Linked DNA regions of Drosophila melanogaster. The protein of the gene in region 3 purifies or fractionates together with the protein of the main gene of each other region. This does not show direct contact. Each region holds a gene or a part of one and is shown on either strand. Other genes may lie near its edges. The genes, in order: ex, nerfin-1, slmb and Cul1.

Region 1 (5,033 bases), on a different chromosome or scaffold from region 3:
ACCTTTAAAGCATTATGTGGATAATATATATTGTTTTGAATTGAAATCATCGCAAGTAATTATGAAAGCAGTTTTCTGTATGCCGGGCTTAGTGTGCCATCAAATCGCCAAATAACTCGTCGTCTCTTTGCCAAACTGCGAATATCGAATAGGAGAAAACAGAAATCAGGGAACAAGCGACTGAGAAATAAAACAGCAAAGCGGCAAATGCCGAATTCCGAGCTGCGGAATTCCACTTGTTGTGCCAGTTATGGCCAAACAATTTGATGTCTTTGAAATGCGTGAAATGTCCCCGCCGACCGCCGATGATAATAATGAAAATGGTCGCTTGCTCGGTTGGCTGGATAGCTGTGAGGAGCAGCCAGGGCGGAGTGGGCCAAAAGAAAGCAGCCCACACGTCGTCGCTCGGCTTCAGTTGGCTAGGCACCACAAAATCGCACCACATCGCACCACTCTCCTCCACTGCGCACCACACCCCGCAGACGCGAAATGCCCAACTGGGCGAACGAAGGTGGTAACGGTGGCGGAGGCGATGGCCTCCACAATGAGAGCAGCAAACAGCAAGATACAAAAACAAAAAAGAAGCCGCAACGTGTGCCGCATGCCAAATCGGAGGCGTGCGAAACTATGCTGCCATAATACCGTAGAAAAATTAGCAGTCCATACAGGGTATCTTGGGTTAAATGAATGCGCTATAATACGAGTAACCAATAATTCTAAAGTTTAAGGTATTTTGATTATGGCTAGAATAATTCTTTGACCAATTCTAAGTAAAGAGGCTTTTAAGTTTTTGCCTATCTGGCAATATGTTGTTGAAACAATATTTTTTTACGAGCATAGAGATAAGTACATTTTTTTAATCCTCGAAGGTCGTTCATTAGTGTATCCTCTATATCTCTGAGCCAGCCTCGACTCCGATTGTCATTCGAAATTTGTTTAATTTGTTGTACATTTTAATTGCCTGAATTGTTCGAGGCAATGAGCAACCAGAGTTTTCAATGTTCGCACACGCATATCAACTGCGTGCAGGAATTTCAGTTTACGAAATTAATATTTTGAGTTTGTATGATCATTGCTGTTGCTGTTGTCAGCTTCAATGCAAAAGCCCATTGCCTGAGGTCAAGTGTGATGTGGAGATCAAGAGATACGCACGGAGATGGAGATGTAGACGTCAGTGCTCAATCGAAAAAACCACAAGCGAACTAAAACTACGATCCGGGGAATACATGTGTACTTGCCGAGATATAGATACGTCTGTCCGCAGATACAGTTACCCATATGTATATGATTGCCTGGTGGCAAAATCGTTTAACGATTAGCGTTTAACCGCTTAAAGCTTATCGACTGATACCCAAAGCGTGTGTTTTCACCCGTTTGTTTATCTTTCGCTGATTTACATTCAAGATGTCTGATTGCCAAGCGGTTTCTGATTTCAGCAATTGTTCCAGGGATCCCGATGGACGGTTGAAATTCCAAACCCGGGAATAACAATAGAACTCTGTGGAGCTTCCATTTTCACTTAATTGCATCGCCGTCGATCGTTCTGACAACCGTTTAAGTCGCCTATTAGCCATAGAACCTATCAAATTGACTAGCTCACTTGGAAATTGGATCCCGAGATAAGTGAAACCCTGTGCAAAGATACTTTAGGGCCGCATAGAAAATGTCAAAAAAAATTAATTAAATGTGACCGGTATTTAAAAAGTCGGTCAGGCCTACTATATAACTACATATGTATGCACATGTGAATGTACATATATATTTGACACAATAGTACTCTAAACAGCTTCCCCATTTCAATATACCCTCCGTAGAGTGTCAAGTTTGACTGACATTTGATATTCCATGGCCCGAAATGGGTTAATTGCACAATTCGCTGAATTTTTGACTCTTAGCGGGACGCAAAAAAAAAAATTTAAAGAAAAAAGCTGGCGACAACAACGAAATGTTAAACAATCGTTGGACGTTGGCGATTTTATGGTTGACAGATAAGAAATTTGCTGGCATTTGTTTTGTTTGCCGTTTTCAGGGAGTCATTAAAATTCCGGGGAAATGGCCCCATATGGGTACACCACTCTATATCTGCACGTGTATCTGTCCTTTTCTTACCTTAAGCCGCTGCAGAAGTCGGCATTGTTAATGCTGTATCTGTATCTGCTTCTGTTTCGGTTTCGCGTAATCCACAATAACTGGCTTTTTAATTTTGGTTTGGTAGTTTTGTTTAACTAAAGCTCACTCTTCGTGCACTCTTAAAACCGATCTATTGATTTGGCTATCGATAAGTGCCTAACAGTAAAATTTTCGTTTCGTTGTTGTTACTTTCTGACCTCTTCCACTTCCACGACGCGCGCTGCGACTGCGCAGTCAACAGCGATCGGGTCGCATTCCAGCGTCGCACATACTTTAATCAAAACTCACTAACACCAGAACAATTGCACACGCGGGCGAGCGCAACTGAGAGTATCTGTGTGCGTGGAGTCGTTGTTGTTGCGCGAAAGAATGCCGTTTGCTGGGTTGTTGTTTTTGCTGTTGCTGACTGCTTTATTTGTTGTAGTTGTAGTTTCCAGTGGGCAGTTGTTGTTGCGGCTGAATTTTTTCTTTTTGACCAGCACCAACTTTTCGGAGTTGACTTCAGCTTTTTTACACTACTAGTCGTAGATATTTTCGTGGTTTTAAGGCGCGTTTTCCCAAAATCAGAACTAGTTGCACCAACACCAACAAAAATCACTTTTGTAATTGAGGCGAGTGCGAAAACGAAGCGCGCTGTTTTTGTTTCAGTGAAAACCGAACTTCACTTTAAGCAACTGAATCTGTGTAGCTCTGTGTGTGTCTGGGCGATCTGGTGTGCGTGCGGTGTGCATTTAAGATCTGAAGAACAACTTTTCCGAATGTTAGGTCTCGAATAAATTCATTAAACCGAATTTATATTTCCCAGTGGAAAGCACATGCTTTGCTGTCCCGACGATCTGTTCGGTTACCGTTGACGTTTAGCGATATACTGATTTTGCCCCTGCTCAGCGAAACCGAACACAACGAAGATCGAGTCGAGATTTCGTTAAAACTTAACGAAGCCGCGTTTAACGAAAAGAGAGCCCAAGAGAGAATTCGAATTCGAAAGAAGCGCACACAGCGATACACAAACCCGATGGCAACAACAACAACGGCTACGAAAATGTAAATAGCAATAAGCAATAAAAGAAAAACAAACTTCAAAGGAGAATCCCAGTAGCCAACTACATAGTGTGTGCGTCCGTGTGAGTAGTGGAATTCCAATGGCTTATCTCGCGAGACGACGATTCCGATTCTCAAGGGCTTAAAGGATACCCTGTTAGGATAGCAGATTTAAGTAAAATGCATATGAGAATTTTAACAAAGGTACCTTTCTTTCTAATTCTGCTTTTTATCACATGCTATCTTGTAGTTTACATTGTATATTACAATTACATTATGAGTTCTATCTTTTGGCATTCACTTTTTGCCAAACTATGGCGGAAGCCTATTGGATTCAAATCTAGCTTTCAGTATCCCTGCGCTAGCCATCGATGCGACTATCTTATAAATAAACTCTCTGGGCAAAACTCCAGATACAGATGCACTGGACGAGGGAGAATCGGAATCGGAACTTGAGGGTCTGAAGACTCTGCCTCTATCGGCGTCCTCTGCTGCTACGATATCGTCACTTGGGCGCATTCCTCAGCATAATGTGAGCTTGATTTGCTGGATTCTTTTTGCTCCCTCTTCCCTCTTTTTCTCTTCTTTAGATTTCCTCCTTTTCATTTCCCCTCCTCCACCTCTTCAACCATCATTTGCTTCAAATATGCGGCATACACACGCCCCACGAAAGGGCGGGGATCAGTGTAAGCCAAGTAAGGTTTTAACCAGTTCGTCCAAGGGGCTACTTAGAAAAATCCACAGAAAACAAAATTTAGATTATATGGAAAAAAGTCTAAATGATATAAAAATCGTAACTAAACACAACCAAAAGACTATATAATGATGATCGAAGTTGTGCCCCGGTGCCAAACCCTCGCTACGCCCCTGAAGACCCGGCCAAAAGTCGAAGACTCAGAATTGGAGAGTCAAGGGGTCGGGGTCGGGTCGTCTTGCCATGGACATAACTTGTTGACTGAAGTCAGGGAAGTGGTGGGGCAGGGGTAGAAATTGGGCGAGACATTCCGGTGAGGCGGGGTTTCGATGGGAACAACTCGCACAGCCTTTGATTTCTTTGAGTGTACTTTGCGTTGTGGTGTCTGCTATACCCTGTTTGGGATACAACGGGAAGAATTAAAAAAGGTTTGTAGGTTTCAAAAAAAGTACATGCCACTCCTGGGACAAATTTTGAAAATTTCTCTATTGACAAGCCTATGGTGTAAGGGAATTTGAGTAAAGGTAGTTTGTTACCCACCGGATCAGTCTGACTACAAGAGATCTAGAGTACTTCCATCTTCGACTTGAAGCCCAAGCTTTTCATTCTTGTTTTTTTTTTTTGTTTTGTGGCTGTTCGTTATTCTTTCGTCTTTGGTCGATCGCTTGGTCGCTGGTTCTCTAAGACCGGTTGTTGTTGTTGCTGTAAGCAGCCTTTTGGGAACTACGTTCTTGGTCAATATCGTGTAGATATACATACGTTCTATATCTGTGCTTGTGTGTGTGCGAGGTTTGGAGCCTGGTCGAGGCCGAAGTTTTGAGCGAGGAGAGTGAAAAAATAAAAAAAGAACGGCCAAAAATGTTTTATGCAATTCCTTGAAGTCGATTTCAGTCTCCAGTCTCCCGGTCCAGAGAATCGCTTTTGCGGAATTGGCGCGCATTTCTGGCCTTTTTTTTTGGCAAAGTGATCTTTCAGCCAAGAGCAGCTGCCATTGATCCTCTTTCTATTCAAAATTCCTCGTGCTCTTTGCGGTCTTGGGCAGAGCCAAAGTCGCTGGCGATGATGATATGGCGAGGAGGCCAGGAATTTATTGAATAAGTTGGCATATGACGCGGGTACCAACCCACTGATGTGGATGTGGTGTGTGTTGCTGTTTCTGGCGTGTTTT
Region 2 (5,384 bases), on a different chromosome or scaffold from region 3:
CTATCCTAGCATATCCTGGCATATCCTGTTCGCCTTTTTTCCGTGCTGTCATGCATTTGTATTTGATTAAACATTTTTTACGCGTTTCCGTTGAGAGCATCATTAGTTTGGCCCGTTTAGAGTTTCACTATGGACCGACCAGAGACTGAGTTGAAAACACCCTGGGATTCCACCCCATCGTCATCAAGTTTCCTCGTCCTTAGCCCAGTGCCCAAATGCATCTGTCCGATTCAATGGTCCACTTCCGCTTTTCCGCCTTGGCAGTTAGTGTGTTTTGGTATTTGTTTTAGTCGGTCCCAGATCGATGGACCATGTCAATGGCCCTTAATGGCATTTCATTACTGCAGTTCGCCGTTATTTGGGCATGATTATAAGGAATCACCCAAGAGCACTCATCATTATTGGTTACCAGTCTTACAACCCCCGTATAGATGATATATGACCACCTCGCCGCAATTATAAAGCAATCATTTGGGGGTTTGTTTTCCCTGACAACCCAAAGAGAACCCAACAAGAAGTTTTCATTTTCAGTTTTGCGTTTTTATTCAAGAGCTTTTATAATTTACAATTTTTATGGGTTTTCCAAGATTGGGTTTTGTATAAAAATATATTGGTTTCCGATAAATATATGTCGATTACATCTTAGACATCATATAATTAAAAAAGGTCTTCAAGAGTTTGTTTTTGTATAAAAATATATGGTGTATATTACGTATAAAAATACTTGGTTCAATGATCTGTCTCCTCTTAGCTTATTGTTAATGCACAATCGAGCGCAACGATTCTCTTGTAAACTTGAAGCTTAGACTGTAGTATCACAAAATCTCAACCGATATGGTTACATGTATGATATAGCTTAGAGTTAGTTAATTCCTAGATTGAGCGAAAGTTTCCCTTTTCGTTGTACTCTGCGGTTACAACCAATTTACACATACTGATGCTAAGGAACAATAGCGCTGTGATATTGTCCCGATATCGGGGATTACTTATTTTATTGCTTTAAGTACACAACCGCCGGTTCTGAAGCCTGTGGCCCTTATAGCTAGGTTGTACTGTTCAATACTTTGACTGGTAGTGAGACGCTGGTCCAATGTCCGTTTCTATGCCTAACTTAACTAACTAAACTAAACTGAGAACAAGCTGATTCCGCTTGATTAGGTGGCTAAAATGACTAGAGCTCACACTCGACTTTGGTTCACAAACACTGGGCTTGAATTTGCTTTAAACTAGGATTTGGTTTGCTTTTTGGTTTGATTCGAACTTAAACACTATTACTGCACAATTTTGCCTGAATTTTGGTTTCGGTATATAACCTGAATATGACTAAAGCTGTATCCGAAATTGAAGAACGATATATGTTTGTACAAACTTAGTAAGATCGAACTGAAGCTGACTTATAGAGATGATTTATCCTAAGTGACTAGAAGGAATGCAAGAACTTGTGACTAGAATGACGAGAAATTTCCAGATTGAAAAAGTTGTTAAAGGGTTGAATTAAGGGTAGAATATTAACTGGAAAATGATTAGCAAAAAATGCAAAGATGATACAGGATGAGAGTGAGTCATGAGGAAATTGGTATGAAAGTGTGAAAAGCTATGGGATGATTAGTAGTAAGAAGAATGAAGGATGATATGGGTGATGAATGATGTCATGGGATGATGTAGGAGCAAAGGAGTAGATGGATATATGACTGACTAGTATTAGTTATAAATCTTTGGTTGGTTGCTTTGGCTTTCGTTGTAGGTTCATTGCACTCCCAAAAGTTCCTAAACTAGCTAAATCTAGAGACTAATAGAAATGCCTTCGTGGTACACAAGAGACACTCTTTTCGAGATCGTATTGAAGCTGACTAGTGCCAAGATTCTTTGGATTCACTGACTAGAAATTAAGTTACAACTAAATTGCCGTGTGGAATGTGGGCCGAAGTACGGATACAAACTAGAGTCTAACTAGAATTGAACTCATTTTGCGAACGAAACTGAATCGGTTAAGAACTAAATTTTATAGCTAACTAAGAATACGAAGTGGAAAACGAAATTTCCGTGGAATATAACTATTTCTTTGGTCTGTTTCAGCTGCATCGGGTTTGGTGTTCAACTAGAAACTAAACTTAACATTAAAAATAAATCTCACTCGATTTCAGTGGGCCATGGTTGTGTGTTGGATGACGGAGGCGCAGTTCCTCAAGTTGGTCAGAGCTGCGGCAGCAATGCTTTCCTCCTCCGTGAGACCATGTTCCACAATCTGAAGCCGTCCGTATCCCGCAGATGAGGCGGAGGAGCTGGAGTCCGAGAGGTAGTCGTTGTCATAGTCGTAGTTCTCCCTGGCATTCGATCCCACCACGTAGACTCCCTCATCGGAGTGCGAACTGCTGGCGGAGGAGGAGGTGGACACCGCCTGGTTAAAGTGAAAACTGCCTGTGATAGTTGTGGTGGTGGGCTTCATTTCCAACTGTTTTTCCGCTGGCTTTTCCTTTTTCTGATGGGTCAGCTGGTGCTTCCTCAGGTAGGCGGCTCTCTTAAACTTCTTGCCGCACTCCTGGCAATCGAAGGCCAGTTCCTCCTCCGACTTTTTCTCCACCTGCTGCTGTTTCTCCGGCTGGTTGGTGGTATTGCGATTCTCCTTTTTAGACGCCTCCTTCCTCGGCTTGTGCCACCGGCGATGGGAGGCCAAGTTAGCAGGACAATTGAACTGCTTGCCGCACTCGGGACACCGGTACTCCAGCAGGACGATGCAGGCGCACCTGTGCCGGGCCAGGCCGAAGGCGTCCTCGAACTTGATCTTGCACAGTCGGCAGACATAGTCCCCGATCACGTTCTTGATGGCGGCCAGTTCCGCCTTGGTCTCCTCCGTGATCTCGACTATGTTGTACTTGGGGTCAATGTCGCCGTTGCTGTACTGCATCGATCCATCGGTGATGTCCTCGAGCGGTCGGATGACGGTGCCCGAGACGGGGGAACTGGTCTCCTCATCGAACTTCAGCTTGCGGGTGGCTTTATTGCGGGAGGGCTTTCCCGAGGAAGTGGAGGCCTTGTTGGTTTTAGGCGCAGATTCTGCCACTTTGACGGGTTTCGCTGGTGTGGATTCTACTGTTTCCACCGGAACCTCCTCCTCCTTTTTGGCCATTTTAGCCGGCTCGTCGTCATAGCTCTCCCGGCTCAATTTACGCTTCCCTGCTGGACTCTGCGGTGGTGTTGGGGGCTTCACCGGCAGCTCCTCCACCTTGGTCACCTCCCCCTGCACCTCGCTGGAACTAGCACTCGTATTTTCGCTATAGACCTCCGCGAATGTGGCCGCCATGGGCACATCGCTGCTGGGCAGTGGTGAGGGAAGCTTCAGCGTTAGATCCAGCGGTATTTCGCACCTGGTTTTCAGGTTCAGATATCGACTGCGGTACTTGGGGGGCAGCGAGGCCACTGTGGTCAGCAGGCCCAGGCCATGGGGCATCCCCTTGTGCTGCAACTGGATGCCAATGCTGTGCGGGTGGCTGAGCTTTTCAATGGGCTCCGCGGGGGCTGGAATCGGTATCGGTGTCTGTATCTGGGCCATGGCATCGATGGGACTTTCAACTTAAAACTTCAACGAGGCAAAACGAAAACGGAGTAGAACGGGGAACGTAGAACGGGAACTAAGCAAACTTAACAACAAACTGATAACGCTGATCCTCGCGGACTGGGACTCTATGCAGAAGACCTCCAGTCGGCTCGACGTTTGTGCTGCGAATGACGTTCGGTGGACTCGGTGGCGGCTATTTATGTGTACCACAGGCCAAAGGAAAGCGAAACCGAAACTCGAAATCATTGTTTGTGCCGGCGTCCTGGAAATACATTTCAACCCCCTTTTCGGCCGAAGTCGTTGTCCTTTTTCGACGCCGGCAGAGCCGCAAAAGCCGGAATCTTTTGTTAGCAATCACACACACATTAGTCACCCTTTTTTCCACACACACACATACACACGGAGTGAAAGTCCTACGCACACACACACACCACACAGTCTCCCGTTTTGCGGCCAGGACAATGCACTCGGAGAAATCAATGTGCGACAGCTGTTGTTTCGGTACCCGAAATTGCCACGCACCAAAATCGCAGCACCTTCCTAGGCAAATATGAATGTATGTTTGTGTATTCAGCGGAAATCTGAGCAGCACATTGTCCTTATTTTTGCCAAAAAAAACAGCTGACACCCATGGAGTCGTTAATTGAGCATGTAACCATAAGGTTCATCAATAGATCGGGAATATCCTTGGGCCAAAAGGTGAATTGTTTCTTTGTTGGCATTTGGTGCTAAACAGCTGTTGGCCAAGATGGTTATAAAAGTAAACAATGTAACAAGTAATAACGGCTGGAAAGTACATCAACATAGGGCATAGTTCGGATTGCTATCTATTTTTACATTTTTCATACATCTCATACACAAATTTCGCGATGTGTACTTTGCGGCACTGCATTTATCAGCCTCAGACGACTAAGCTCGTCAAGTTCGCTTTTGGTGGGGTAGGTAACAGACTAACAGACTAGCAGACACAACTTGGATTCGAACTTCGAACTTCACCACCGCGGAGCATGGCGCACAATCGCTTCTATCCTCGTATCCTTGTCGCTGTAACGGTAGCTGTATCTGTGTGCGAGTATCCTGGACGTGTATCGTTCGTGTGAGTGCTTTGCATTAATGTAATCGAAATGCGAAGCCGACTGAGCTGACTGAGTCGACAGTGGTTGCCATGAAAGGAATGCACTTTCGATTCCCGTCGAGGGCTTTCGTCGCAGGATTCGCAGGACTCTCGCTCTTGGAAAATATGGCATATTATGTTGAACACGCCGCCATTGTTGTTGTTCTTGTATTACGGTAGGCACGTGCATGGCAACGATTGCCACCCCAAAACGGGCTGACAATGTGAGCACTAAAAGAAAATACCCCCAAATTGCATAGTTGATCTAAGATTTCAGCTTTATATTCAATTGAATGTATTAACTCCGCCAGAATGCTATAATACACATTGTACAATGAATTGAATGCGCTACTAATATTGATTTTCTCGCAGTGCATGGTTGAAAGTGCAGAGAGTATTCCCAAGGCGATCCTGTCGCAGCAGGGTGGCCTTTTGCCAGGGGAATCGATGTTTGCCATGCAGCTTAGAATTAAAATAGCGCACGCATCCGAGGCCAAATCCTGGGCCAAACTTCGGATCGAGTGAATCGGCGACAAAAGTCTCAGAAGTGCGCCAGCCACGCGAGCATTGTCCTGAAGGTCCTGTCGTCCTTCGGCCGCGATGGCTGCCATCCGAAGGTCCTGAAAGGCATCGCAGATACACTGATTCAAAATCCATCCCCGTGCCGGGTGGCGAAAGTCCTCCCCTCCGGAGGACTCGGTGATGCCTTGCCAA
Region 3 (4,999 bases):
AGCAAGGGTGTCTGTCGGGGGACGCGGAACGAATCGCACCGGGTTCAGAGCGCGGCTTGCCTTTCATGTTGTTCAACTTTGTACCTGCAGTTTGTTATTGTTTCGCCAATTGCGTGTGTCGAGGGCTTAAACTCAGCTTTGTGCTGCTAGACTCGCCTGAGATTCTAATGGTGGATGAGCCATTTCTGAGCCTTCATTTTAGGAGGAAAACGGTCAAACTCCGATGGTGGAATTCGCACCCTAACAGCTGTTATTGCCTTCTTATCGGCTGCGTGAATTGGTTTCTCTATTGGTCAACTGGGATTACTGACCTTCCCATACAAAGCATGCTGTTGATAACAACTGGGTTATAAATCACGTTCTTGGAATGACTTAGCATGACTAATTTATCCGTTCAATATTTATAATATTTAGGAATAGATCTAACAGCTTCAAAAATGCAGATTAATATATGATATACCACTTCATCATTTCCTCACTTGTAGAATAACCACTATTGAATCCACAGCTAAAACTGCATTTTTAACGTTCATATTTTCATAGTCGTTGGCTAACATGTTACAGTTTACAGTCTTGGCCTAATACTTTGTTGTGAACGTAATATATCAATCTGTATGAACGGAAGTTATTTCTCCACTTCGACTGGACTCAGGTGGCAATAGCCAGTGTATCGGCAGGCACTCACTTGGCAGCAATGTGATAAAGTCCCGCTGGAGCATCGGCTTGAGATAGGCATTGATCTGTCCGTGTTGATAGTGGCACATGCGCGACAGCAGGTGCTCCACAAAGTCCACCTGGCCCGACTCGCTCCACTGGGTGAAGTACTGAAAGCAGAGTTCCCGCTCCGTTTGGTAGGTGGGCGATGAGTCTTTCTTGCGCACCGGGTCGTACAGCATAGTGGTTGTGAACTGTATGGGTGAAAAGTGGCATAAAGAAGCAAATTAATTATGAGATTGCATTTGTTTCGTTTTTGTTGTTGTTGTTGTTGTTGTGGGGCGACGATGATGTGTTATGGGGTGCTTCGATGTCAAGGGGCGATCGTTAAAACTGGAAAAGTAGGTAGCTGCTGGTTGTGCAACTTTTCTTTAGTTTAGGCTACCGACGACCCAAACTGGGGGCTTAAAATTAGGCAATTAGCTTCGACTACGCTGAGCGTTTCTTTCTATTCGTAATTTTTCTCATTTTTTTTTTATTCGGCGGCGAAAGAGTTTGCAAAGCGGATTTCTGAAGAATGAAAAACGCGACTGGCAGCGCAGCGGTAGAAACAGATCATTCACACGGCCAGTTTATAAATAATAATTGTATCGATGTTTATTTGGTCTTCCATGCTCATTATGCGCATTCTATATATAGACATACCCATTGATGGGCCCCAATTAAATCAAACGTCATCAATTAAACGCTAAAGATCTCGGCAAACAATTTTATCGGCGTGAAGTAAACAAATTGGTCGATTCGAGTGTGAGTGATTTGAGTAATTAAGTTAACTGCAATGCCAGCAATGCGAAAACCTTGCCAGTATTTGTAGTAAATGTTGTGAATATGTATGTACAAACATACTAAGTTGTATTCGGGTCGGTTGCCTTAATTTAATTGCCGTATTATGGTTTTTGTAAGCTTTAGTTGTTTGCCTTTGCCTGGTAACTTTGAGCTGAAGGATGCTACTTAAACTATGCACTGATTATGCTATGAGAAAGGTTTGTGGCAATAAGCAATATGAATGTATATATCCTCTAATTGATAGTTAATAATATCTCGTTTGTGTTTCGCTGCTATTACCAAGAAGCCATCTGTCTCATTAACCAGATTCCACCTTGAATCCGGCGAAATTAAAGCCCAGATGACTCAAGCGAAACCGAGCGAAAAAATTGAAAATAAAAAACGATTTTTTTGGCCCATTACTCGATGGTTTTACGCGAACTGACCTTCAGTAAGCCGCCTATCGTATATAGCTCCACAATTAAATAAGTACTGATTGAAATGTACACGGCCGTACTTTGTGCACAGCGTTTGTTATTAATTGTGTACACAAACTCGAGGCCAATTAACGAAATCTTAAGACTCGAAAACCGGAGATTGGGGATATATACATATATATGCAACGATAATTGAACAAAGGGGATGATGATGATGATGCTGGCGATGAATAAGTAGGCTAATGTCTAATATCCACAAGAGTTTAAGGTTATAGCCCATGGGATGGCTATGTGCCACAGTGTCCGAATTTAATAGAGTGCACGAGTGCAAAATCTGTAGTATATACGAAAATAAAGCACTAGCACACGCACACCAGTGTGTGACAACACGCATAGGTGGCGTAGGTGTGCGTGCCCCTGTGTGTGTGTATGTGTGTGGGTCTATTGAGGCGACACCTTGGGCAATATGTACTTAAATCGGTGTGTTTAATGCATTTAGAAGGGCAGAGATCCCGCTTAAAGCAGGTAACTTAGCGAAAACTCACGGCCTGTGCATTGGAGTTGGTTTCGTCCATTATTTTGTCAGTCTCCATTTTCATCATTGTGTTGTTTGTGTGTTTGTAGAGTTTACTGGCTCGTCGTTTGCTTCTCTCTCACTCGCTCACTGCCAGAGTTTTCCGTCGCACTCGCACTCACGCACCACGTAGCGTTTTTCGCTGATTTTTCGTTAACACGTCTCGCAAATCGCTTTTCGCCAGCGATTTCATATAATTTTTAGGTCGAAGGAAAATTACAATTTGCTCGTCTCGGTTTCTGTAGGACCGCAGGCGGGATGCGCGAAAACGGCGAGGCGAACGCGATGGCAAAGGCAAACTCAACTTGCCGAGGTCCCTCACCAATTGAGCGAATGTCGTATGCAAGTCATTATTCTCACCGCTCCTGGCGGCTTGCACGTTGTTTGTTTTTGCTTATTCAGATGACGCCAACTACTGGACACTCACTTTTCACACGGAGAATTTTATTTTTTTTTACCAGATCTCGCCCAAATACGGACTGCGAAACCACAAAGCCAAAGATGAGTGTGCACTATCGTTATCGATATCTGTCACATATATGAACGGTCACACTGCCACGGGCCAGTGCTGCAAAATACGGCAAGAGCACACAATTTCGTCGTTTCTGCTCTAAATTTTCGAACAGGTTGTTGCAATTACAACTATTTATGAAATGTTTTTAAGTTATTTCCCTTTCAGAGCTATGAATTGTAAGCATTGTATGGCTACCCAACACACTTTGCCAGCTCTGACAACTCTGCACATCCATATCAGCTGATTTCTCGATCGCTCTCTCCGTTTTCTGTTGTTATTTAATTGATAAACTTGTTGCGGGGGGCCACTCTCCAGATAACCCCCCACTTTTAAATTAATAAATATTGCGCAAGTAAGTGCCGTCCAGCTCGCCGAATGCTCACTTTCATTCGACCGCAGAGCTGTTCCCATTCTAATCATTTCCTTGAGCATTCATAATCGAGCTACAATACACATTTTTTTTCAAATTCACAGTGCAACTAACTCAAATCCTCAGGATGGCGTGCCAAAACCAAAATGCCGCCAACTTCTTGAGCAATGGCAAGAAAATTGTGGGGGTGGCTCTCAATTACATGTAACTCAGTGTCATAGTAATCTTGGGTCTGCATGGGTAATCCACGAATACTTTCTTCCGTCGCAGGGACGTTGTGCTGGCCAGGAACGTTCCCGTGCCCAAGGAGCCGCTCGTCTTCCTCAAGCCCACATCTTCGTACCTCCAGGAGGGTCAGCCCATTGTGGTGAGTTCTACAGAGAATTAATTAAGATAACATTAAGATAGTAGCAAGATAGCAAAAGTCCATAAACTGGAGAGTAAACGAATGGAAATTGAAAATCCCTCTTGTGATTTAAACTTTGTATTCCCCCAGTTACCAAAAGTCTTTACCAAGGTGGCATATGAAGTGGAACTAGGCGTGGTGATTGGAAAGCCCTGCAAGAACGTATCCAAGGCAGATGCCATGAGCTATGTGGCAGGATACTGCCTGGCTTTGGATCTAACTGCCCAGTGCAATTTGGTAAGAAGATGGATGCACTCAATCAAGAGCCATTGTTGTAATCAATAATCAATTTCAGGGACCAGCTCGGGCGGCCGGTCATCCGTGGACCTTGGGCAAGGGATTTGATACTTCTACGCCCGTGTCCCAGTTTATACCCATCGAAAAAGTGACGGACCCGCACAACTTGCCGCTTTGGCTCACCGTCAATGGAGACCTTAAGCAAAACGGGTGCACTGCAGACTTAATATTCAAGGTGCCCGACATCATTTCCTACGTGTCCAAGTACATGACCCTGGAGGCCAACGATCTGATCCTTACCGGAACGCCCAATGGTGCCGATGCGTTCAAGGCAGGCGATGTAATTCAGTGTGGAATGGCCGATCTCGCTAAATTGACCTTCCAAGTGGAGGCTGAATAAAAGTGAAGAATTTAATTTTGATGCTATATTCGGATATAATTGGATATGTGCAATGGCTATTTCTTCTTATTACTGGCCACATCATCACAGGCAACCAAATATTTCCACATCGCTGTGCAATCGCTGGTGTTTTTCCATTTGCTGGTCGGGCAGTTGATGTAGACCTTTTCCATGACGCAGGCCAGCAAGGTGGCAGGATAGAAGTCGCAGTCGCCCTTCTTGGGCATCCATTGGAACTCCTGCACCCGCTTCCTAGCTATTTAGAATTAACCATTATTAAGTAGAAAAAAACTTTCGTATGCTAACTCACCGTAGTCCGTGCAACTATTGAGGCTCTTCAACATCAGTTGCGACATATTCGGATCGTTTTTGTAGCGTTGCTGATAGCTCTTCTGCAATGCCTGGGTATTAACAGTGCCATTGCTCAACAAGAATCCATTGGTCCTGAAGGAGCACTCCGCAATACACTGAGGATTACACGTTTCCCAAGAGTAAAGCCAGTTTTAAAATGATATATTTTAGAGCGATACTTACTGCATGCAAAGCCACTTTATCCGACTTAAGATTGCGCACTTCCCCATT
Region 4 (6,743 bases), on a different chromosome or scaffold from region 3:
TGTACCTGACCTTCGTCGTGGTCTACGTCCTCTACGCCACCTCCACGCTACTGGACGGACTACTGCACCACCGTGTTCCCTACAATACGTACTATCCGTTCATAAACTGGCGAGTCGATCGGACCCAGATGTACATCCAGAGTTTTCTGGAGTACTTCACCGTGGGTTATGCCATATATGTGGCCACCGCCACCGATTCCTACCCTGTGATTTACGTGGCAGCCCTGCGAACTCATATTCTCTTGCTCAAGGACCGTATCATTTACTTGGGCGATCCCAGCAACGAGGGTAGCAGCGACCCGAGCTACATGTTTAAATCGTTGGTGGATTGTATCAAGGCACACAGAACCATGCTAAAGTAAGTCAGTTTCATTATCCTACCGGAAATATCAACAACCGTGAATTATGTTTTCACTCAACGGATCTGAATTTATTCGGAAAACTGAATAAAAGTACAACTTTTATAAGAACTCGCTATTGATATTTCTGAATATATAAGAGTATATTTTTACATTCAGGATAAAATAAATGGTATATCAAACGATTCGACATAAAACTATTTTATTTCAAATAAATTAGCTTACATTTTTTAAAATATATGCATTAATTTAAATTTTCAATGTTAAAAACCCATCCCACTGTTTCCCATGCAGTTTTTGTGATGCCATTCAACCAATCATCTCTGGCACGATATTTGCCCAATTCATCATATGCGGATCGATCCTGGGCATAATTATGATCAACATGGTATTGTTCGCTGATCAATCGACCCGATTCGGCATAGTCATCTACGTTATGGCCGTCCTTCTGCAGACTTTTCCGCTTTGCTTCTACTGCAACGCCATCGTGGACGACTGCAAAGAACTGGCCCACGCACTTTTCCATTCCGCCTGGTGGGTGCAGGACAAGCGATACCAGCGGACTGTCATCCAGTTCCTGCAGAAACTGCAGCAGCCCATGACCTTCACCGCCATGAACATATTTAACATTAATTTGGCCACTAACATCAATGTAAGTCCACTGCTCTCGGTTAGAACGGGGAAGGAAGCAAAGTCCGAACTTCAATCCTTGCAGGTAGCCAAGTTCGCCTTCACCGTGTACGCCATCGCGAGCGGTATGAACCTGGACCAAAAGTTAAGCATTAAGGAATAGAAAGGAATACTCAATACAATTGACCGCACCAGAGGTAAACGTACATAGTTTTATGAACTTAACACTTTTTTGCTTCGTAGAATTATAATAATTGTATATGCATACAGCGAATTATGAATAAACATAATCTAGTTAAAACAAATATTGATCGAACAATGGGAAGTAAAGAAAATCGCTACATATGTATACCGTACAGCCCCTGCAGAAGTCTATTTGTAGGCTGGGAACCTGGAACCTTGTCCTCGGCAATTGGAATATGTTCCTACAGAGGCCGGATTCATCGGCTGTGATCTGGTCAATAGGTTCACTTGATCCCTGCGACTGGCCTTTTCTTTGAATGAGGTGCTGGGTGTCGGAAGATGGAGTTAGTGACGCGTTGGCGAGAATTGCACATTTTATGCGAAGCATGGAGTATTTTTAGCTCGCTTCTAGTTCGAATGTTTCGGCGGCAGTTTATTTCGGGCTAGGAGGAAGGGTAGCGGAGGGTCGACACGAATCTAAGTTTATTGATGATATTTTTAATGGCTGGCATAGATGAAACAGCGAAAGTTGTTCATTTAACAAAAACTTAGGCGAGATAACTATATGTGTCTTTGTGTCCCTCCATTCGCTCTAGATACTCCTTCTCGATCAGGATGTCTATGCACTTCTTGATCACGGGCACCTTAGGCTTAAAGCGCGTTGACAGCTGATTAAGCACCTCCGATATGAGATTGGTGTGGTTGAGTCGTTTGCGCATCTTCATGATGCGGACGATCGCCGCCTGGATCAGTAATTTTCGGTCCTCCTCTATGTGCTTATGTACAGTCTCCTGCTCCACTTTAAGTTCAGTCTTCAAAGGCTGGTTGATGTTAATTCGGCGCTTCTTGTTTTTGTAATCGAGGAACAGCTCCACCGTCGACTCTGGCGTCAGCGAGTTCTCATTGTCGCTGGAGGTCAGCACCTTCGCCTTGAGCAGTATTTGCAATACCTGAAGAAATTCTTACATAAGTCTCTATTAATTCTATCTATTGACACTACTCTCACCTGAATCAAGTTCTCCTGCTGCGTCTGTGTGTTGTCCTGCAGTTGCTGGACTGTAAAACTGAGCTGATCGTTAAACTGGAGCAGCACTGACATTTGGAAGGTGCTGGCCTGCAGGGTGTAGGTGGAGGAATTATTGCGGTTGACGTTCATTATCAGTTCGCCCTTGCACATCTGATACAACCAGTTGAGCTTGCGGCCAGAGTGGCGGGCGGCGTAGAACTCATTGAACTGTCGCACTGACCGCTCCAGCTCAGATGGTAGCAGGAAGTTGTTGCTCAGCTGGAAAGGCCAAGAGCCTGAGGACAGGACTTCGATGCCAAAGTCTATTTCCATGGTCAAGTTCTTTTCGGCCAGGTACTGCTTAAAGTACGAGTTCAAGTCCTTTGAGACGCCAATGTCCTGGAACATCCTCTGAAGCTTGACGGTGTATTCGTAACCACATGTCTGCTTCAGTTTGGAGATCATCATAGCCTCGGCGTCATCCGAAGCCGATGTGTGGTTAACCAAGCGCTTAGCAAGCATCTTGGAGTAATATTTTTGGAAGACGTCCTTATCCTCGATATACTTGAACACGACCATCACCTGGTTAAGATTGTCCTCGAGCTCCTTGTCCTCGGGATTTTTCGAGGATTTTTTTAATAACAGATCGCAGTACTTGGCCAGCAATTCGGGCGACTTGCTAGCACTGTTTGCGATCGTGACCACGTTCGAGTTTATGAACTTTCCACACGCCTTGTCCAAAGCGGCCACAAATCCGTTGTCATTGTTGAACGCCGTCAGAACGAGGGCGTTGTACTTCTTGTGCACGTCCAGGATGGTCTGTACGTACGTCTTGGGATCGTTGGCCGCGTCGGTAGTGCAACACTTGGCAATGGCCTCCGTGCCCTGGTGGAGTATATGGTTCTCAAGGATGGACTTGAGATCTGTCAGGTTTTTGGACGAGAGGGCGACCAAGGAGTACATCCGTTTCAGATCATCGTTTCGGTCTGCGTTGAGCAGATTCTGAAACTCGGTGTGAAAGATTTTCAGATGTTTTTCGATAAGAACCTGAAAGACATTGATTCGGTTAGTAGGCGGCTTTAAAGTTGGACACGGTAGGCAATCCCACCTCTTCGCATGTGGACTTCAGCACATCCGCTGTGGTCTCGTGCAGATAGGAAAGACCGTTCTTTGAATTAAAGCCGCGGACGCGCTGCGTCTCCTCCTCCAGCCTGTTTTCGACGTGCTTCAGATACTCGGTGACCGTGTTGGTGGACAGAAAGGCGTCCGACTCCTTCTCGTAGAAGGCTGATGTGTCTGCGATGAACTTGTTTTCAAAGTTTTGCTTGTAGACGGATAACTTCTGCTGCTCGGCATCGGTATCCTCCTCGTTAAAGCTGAGCTCCACGTAGCACTCGATAACGTCGCGGACCAGCGACCGGTTAATGAGCTTGCCTTGACGCTCCTCCTCAATGGACTTGAGCACTGCCTTGGTGACCGGCTCATTTAGCACTTGGAACAAATGTCCCTTCCAGGCGACGAGGGCCAGTCGGTAGATCTTGTAGATACCCTTCTGCCCCTCCTCGCACTCGCGCTTCACCCAGTTCCGATTCAGGTAGTTGCAGATGCCGTCCAGAACGGTACTGGAGAACTGATACGACTTCCACTGTTTGGTGTAGCGCGACAGGAGTACCTCCTCGCCGCTGATGGCCTTGAACTTGGTGAGCAGCTCGCTCAGGTATGACTTGAGAAATTGTTCCAGCCGGTCGTACAGCTTCTTGCCCACCAGCTGCGCTCCGCCTGTCTTTCCGCTGCTCCGTCCGCTTGGAGCCGCGCTCACGCTGGTGCAGTAGTCATAGACGTGAGTGTAGAAACGCATGTACTGGCTGCGGGTGAGGGACTTCTCGTGCTCAAACACCTGCATAATGCCCTCGACCAATTCGCTCCAGATATCGTCCAGGTTGACGAGTTTCTGTGTGGTCTGGGAATTGCCGGAGCGGTTCATTCTGGCGGCGGTGGGTTGTGGCAACGGCCTTCTGCCTTCTTCCACTGGAGGATGCTGTCCCTGCAGTGGCGCTGGGCTGGAGAAGGCAATGACCCTAGGTGGCGAATGCTGCGCGGGCGACAGGGGATTGCTGCTGCTTTCCAGGTGGCGTCGTTTCGCGGCTCTCGTCCTTGGAGTTGTGGCCGGAATCTTGGCGAATCGGTGTTCCAATTTTGGAATTTAAAGTGTCAATCTGCAGATGAGAGAATCGGTACAAAAACGGAATGGGATTGGGAATGTAGTAGGCCTCGCCACGTTAAAAGCGACGACCCGAAGGTCGCCTATTATGATCCAATGTCACAGCAATAAAAGAGAGGCTTGCGGAATACACACACACACACACATGCACGCACAAGCTGTAATGCAATGCGCGGTGGTCGGACATGCCCTGCAATGTAGGGTATTGGCCAATCGCATGGCAGGTGAAGCCCCACCACCGCCCCCGCTATCGTTAGATCGTGTTCGAAAACCCAACTTCCTGGTTAAATAAACACTCGCATGCACACATATGCAGTCGCCCTCGCCTTCACACACACACCCGCACCCACACAAAGGCACATAAAGCCAAGAGAAAAGATAGCGGACATAACCATTTCACAACTAAATTGTTAACATTTTTTTCGATTTTTCACATAGCTCCCTCCAAACGAAATTTATTTTCCTGGTAAATTGAGCCGTGCGACTGAGTTTTCTTTTCGTGACGTCGTGATGGATTTGATTTCCCCTTGGAGCACACACACTTTTTCTCTTTTGTTCGCCATTTTCAAAGCACGAAATCCCGTCTCTTTGCATTTCCCTCATTTTGCTTTATATTACCTGTTGCCAGACGCTGCTAAAATTAAAACTAAAACTAAATTAAAATTGTGTTTCACTGCTTTGCTTATAATTAAATTAATTTTTTTTTTCTGTGAAAATTGCTAACTTTCGTTTATTCCTAACTATTAAAATGTGTGACCGTTCGGCCATTGCGCTGCAAGGCCCTCGACGGTGGTATCGCTTAAGACCAGCTATCGTTGGCGATCTATTTATTGGGCGCCACTATTGGTGGCGATCTCATTTTTCAGGGAATTCTTTACACGGAAAGCAGTTATATTATAGTTTATAATATCAAATATCGCTGTTAGGCTCTTCAAAGCGTGATGTAAAATATCGGCAACGCGGTTCGTATCTTAGATTTTACAAATCCGTTAGCGGTTACAGAAACCTTCTTATAGATGTCATTTTCCTGGGCACACTTCCTGGAACTTGAGAACAATCTATACTTTATATAAAACGATTGGTCTTAGCACTTGCATAATAAAACCCTTTTCAAATAATTAGGGTATGCTTATATAGTCTTATACAGGTTCACCCTAATGCCCGTACGAAACACAACTCCTCCAGGACTCAAACCAATGTGACCGTGTATAGAAGGCATACGCATTTACTTCAATTTCGATTCGTTTGCTTTGACATGTGCGGCAACTCTGACGCCAAGCAAAACAAAAACAGTGCAGCAAAGAAATTTAAAAGGTCATTGTTTATGCTTAGAAGCGGCTATATTTAGTAATTTTGATAGTTGGATACGAAAAGATGTCCTGTCGCTGCTTCTGCTTAGTGGCTGCAGCACTGCTGCTGCTGTTCTTCCACCAGCAATCCTGTGACGCAGCCACCCAGACGCCCCAAAAGACGGTGGTAATTGCGGAGCAGAGTGCGCCGGCTGCTGAGGTGGAGGCCAAAAAGCCAGTCGTGAAGAAATCGCAAGCAGAGAATCCTCCGGCAGGACCAAAGGATTCTATGGTGGTCGTAGACGATGGCGGACCTGCTCCGGTTGCTCCAGGTGCTTCGGTTGCCACACAAGTTTCACCAGGAGATGCCAAGGCACCGGAAATGGTGCAGCCTCCGGGAGGTCTTCCCGTGGATGATGTTCATGTTGAACGCTCTCCCATGTCCCCCGATGTGGACTTTCCGGGCCAGGCTGTTGTCTACATCCTCGTGGGAATCACCAGTACTGCAATACTGCTGCTTATTATGAGGGTTTATAGGTGAGTTAATGAAGGACATATCCTAGAGCTCTAGACTAGAGTCCAGAAAAGCATGAAAGGTTATTTCAAAGTCTTCCTTATTATTTTGTAATGCAAAGGTAAAACAGCAAAGAATAGATTTTTAAGGATTTCAAAAGTTTACAGCGATCCTTTATCGTGCCTTGAAATTAAAATTTCCAGTAAATATTGTTAGAATACTAATTTAAAACTAAGCGTAATGTTTAAATATGTAGCTTTAAATATTCTTATCGGTGGACTATATGCAAAACAGACTACCTATATATACTGAATTTTACTTTATACATACATACCTACATTATTAAGTTATTATACTAGCAATTTTTGGTGATAAGACTAATCGAATCGCAAATCATTGCAGGCTCCGACTTTCCCGGGCGGAGCGCAAGTACGGCGTGCAGGGCGACCGCGCCAACCAGGAGCTGACACCACTGCCCATGGCCATCGAGGACGTGAATAGTGACGAAGAGGACCACACCCTGTTCGAGGTCAATCGCCAG

What was found.
Region 1: the proteins of slmb (region 3) and ex purify together in Drosophila melanogaster (affinity purification with western blotting; 4 studies listed by BioGRID, with this or other methods). This does not show direct contact.
Region 2: the proteins of slmb (region 3) and nerfin-1 purify together in Drosophila melanogaster (affinity purification with western blotting; 2 studies listed by BioGRID, with this or other methods). This does not show direct contact.
Region 4: the proteins of slmb (region 3) and Cul1 purify together in Drosophila melanogaster (affinity purification with western blotting; 4 studies listed by BioGRID, with this or other methods). This does not show direct contact.

Annotation. Positions count from the first base shown.
Region 1 is NT_033779.5:429,194-434,226, reverse strand, and holds the start of ex (expanded), read right to left. Parts: upstream 3,001-5,033; 5' UTR 2,110-3,000; intron 1-2,109. UniProt on the Drosophila melanogaster protein: Activates the Hippo/SWH (Sav/Wts/Hpo) signaling pathway, a signaling pathway that plays a pivotal role in organ size control and tumor suppression by restricting proliferation and promoting apoptosis.
Region 2 is NT_037436.4:907,464-912,847, reverse strand, and holds nerfin-1 (nervous fingers 1), read right to left. Parts: upstream 3,737-5,384; 5' UTR 3,551-3,736; coding exon 2,141-3,550; 3' UTR 529-2,140; downstream 1-528.
Region 3 is NT_033777.3:21,124,477-21,129,475, forward strand, and holds the start of slmb (supernumerary limbs), read right to left. Parts: upstream 3,010-4,999; 5' UTR 2,519-3,009; coding exon 2,462-2,518; intron 909-2,461; coding exon 686-908; intron 1-685. Other genes in the region: CG5793 (uncharacterized protein), read left to right, coding at 3,502-3,578, 3,645-3,741, 3,871-4,017, 4,076-4,417; Obp93a (Odorant-binding protein 93a), read right to left, coding at 4,474-4,673, 4,728-4,884, 4,952-4,999.
Region 4 is NT_033778.4:7,915,383-7,922,125, reverse strand, and holds Cul1 (cullin 1), read right to left. Parts: upstream 5,173-6,743; 5' UTR 5,018-5,172; intron 4,949-5,017; exon of another isoform or gene 4,792-4,948; intron 4,395-4,791; 5' UTR 4,163-4,394; coding exon 3,287-4,162; intron 3,226-3,286; coding exon 2,179-3,225; intron 2,123-2,178; coding exon 1,721-2,122; 3' UTR 1,153-1,720; coding exon of another isoform or gene 1,075-1,152; 3' UTR 1,012-1,074; coding exon of another isoform or gene 654-1,011; 3' UTR 547-653; downstream 1-546. Other genes in the region: Or43b (odorant receptor 43b), read left to right, coding at 1-358, 654-1,011, 1,075-1,152; CG12159 (uncharacterized protein), read left to right, coding at 5,774-6,225, 6,605-6,743. UniProt on the Drosophila melanogaster protein: Core component of multiple SCF (SKP1-CUL1-F-box protein) E3 ubiquitin-protein ligase complexes which mediate the ubiquitination of proteins involved in cell cycle progression, signal transduction and transcription.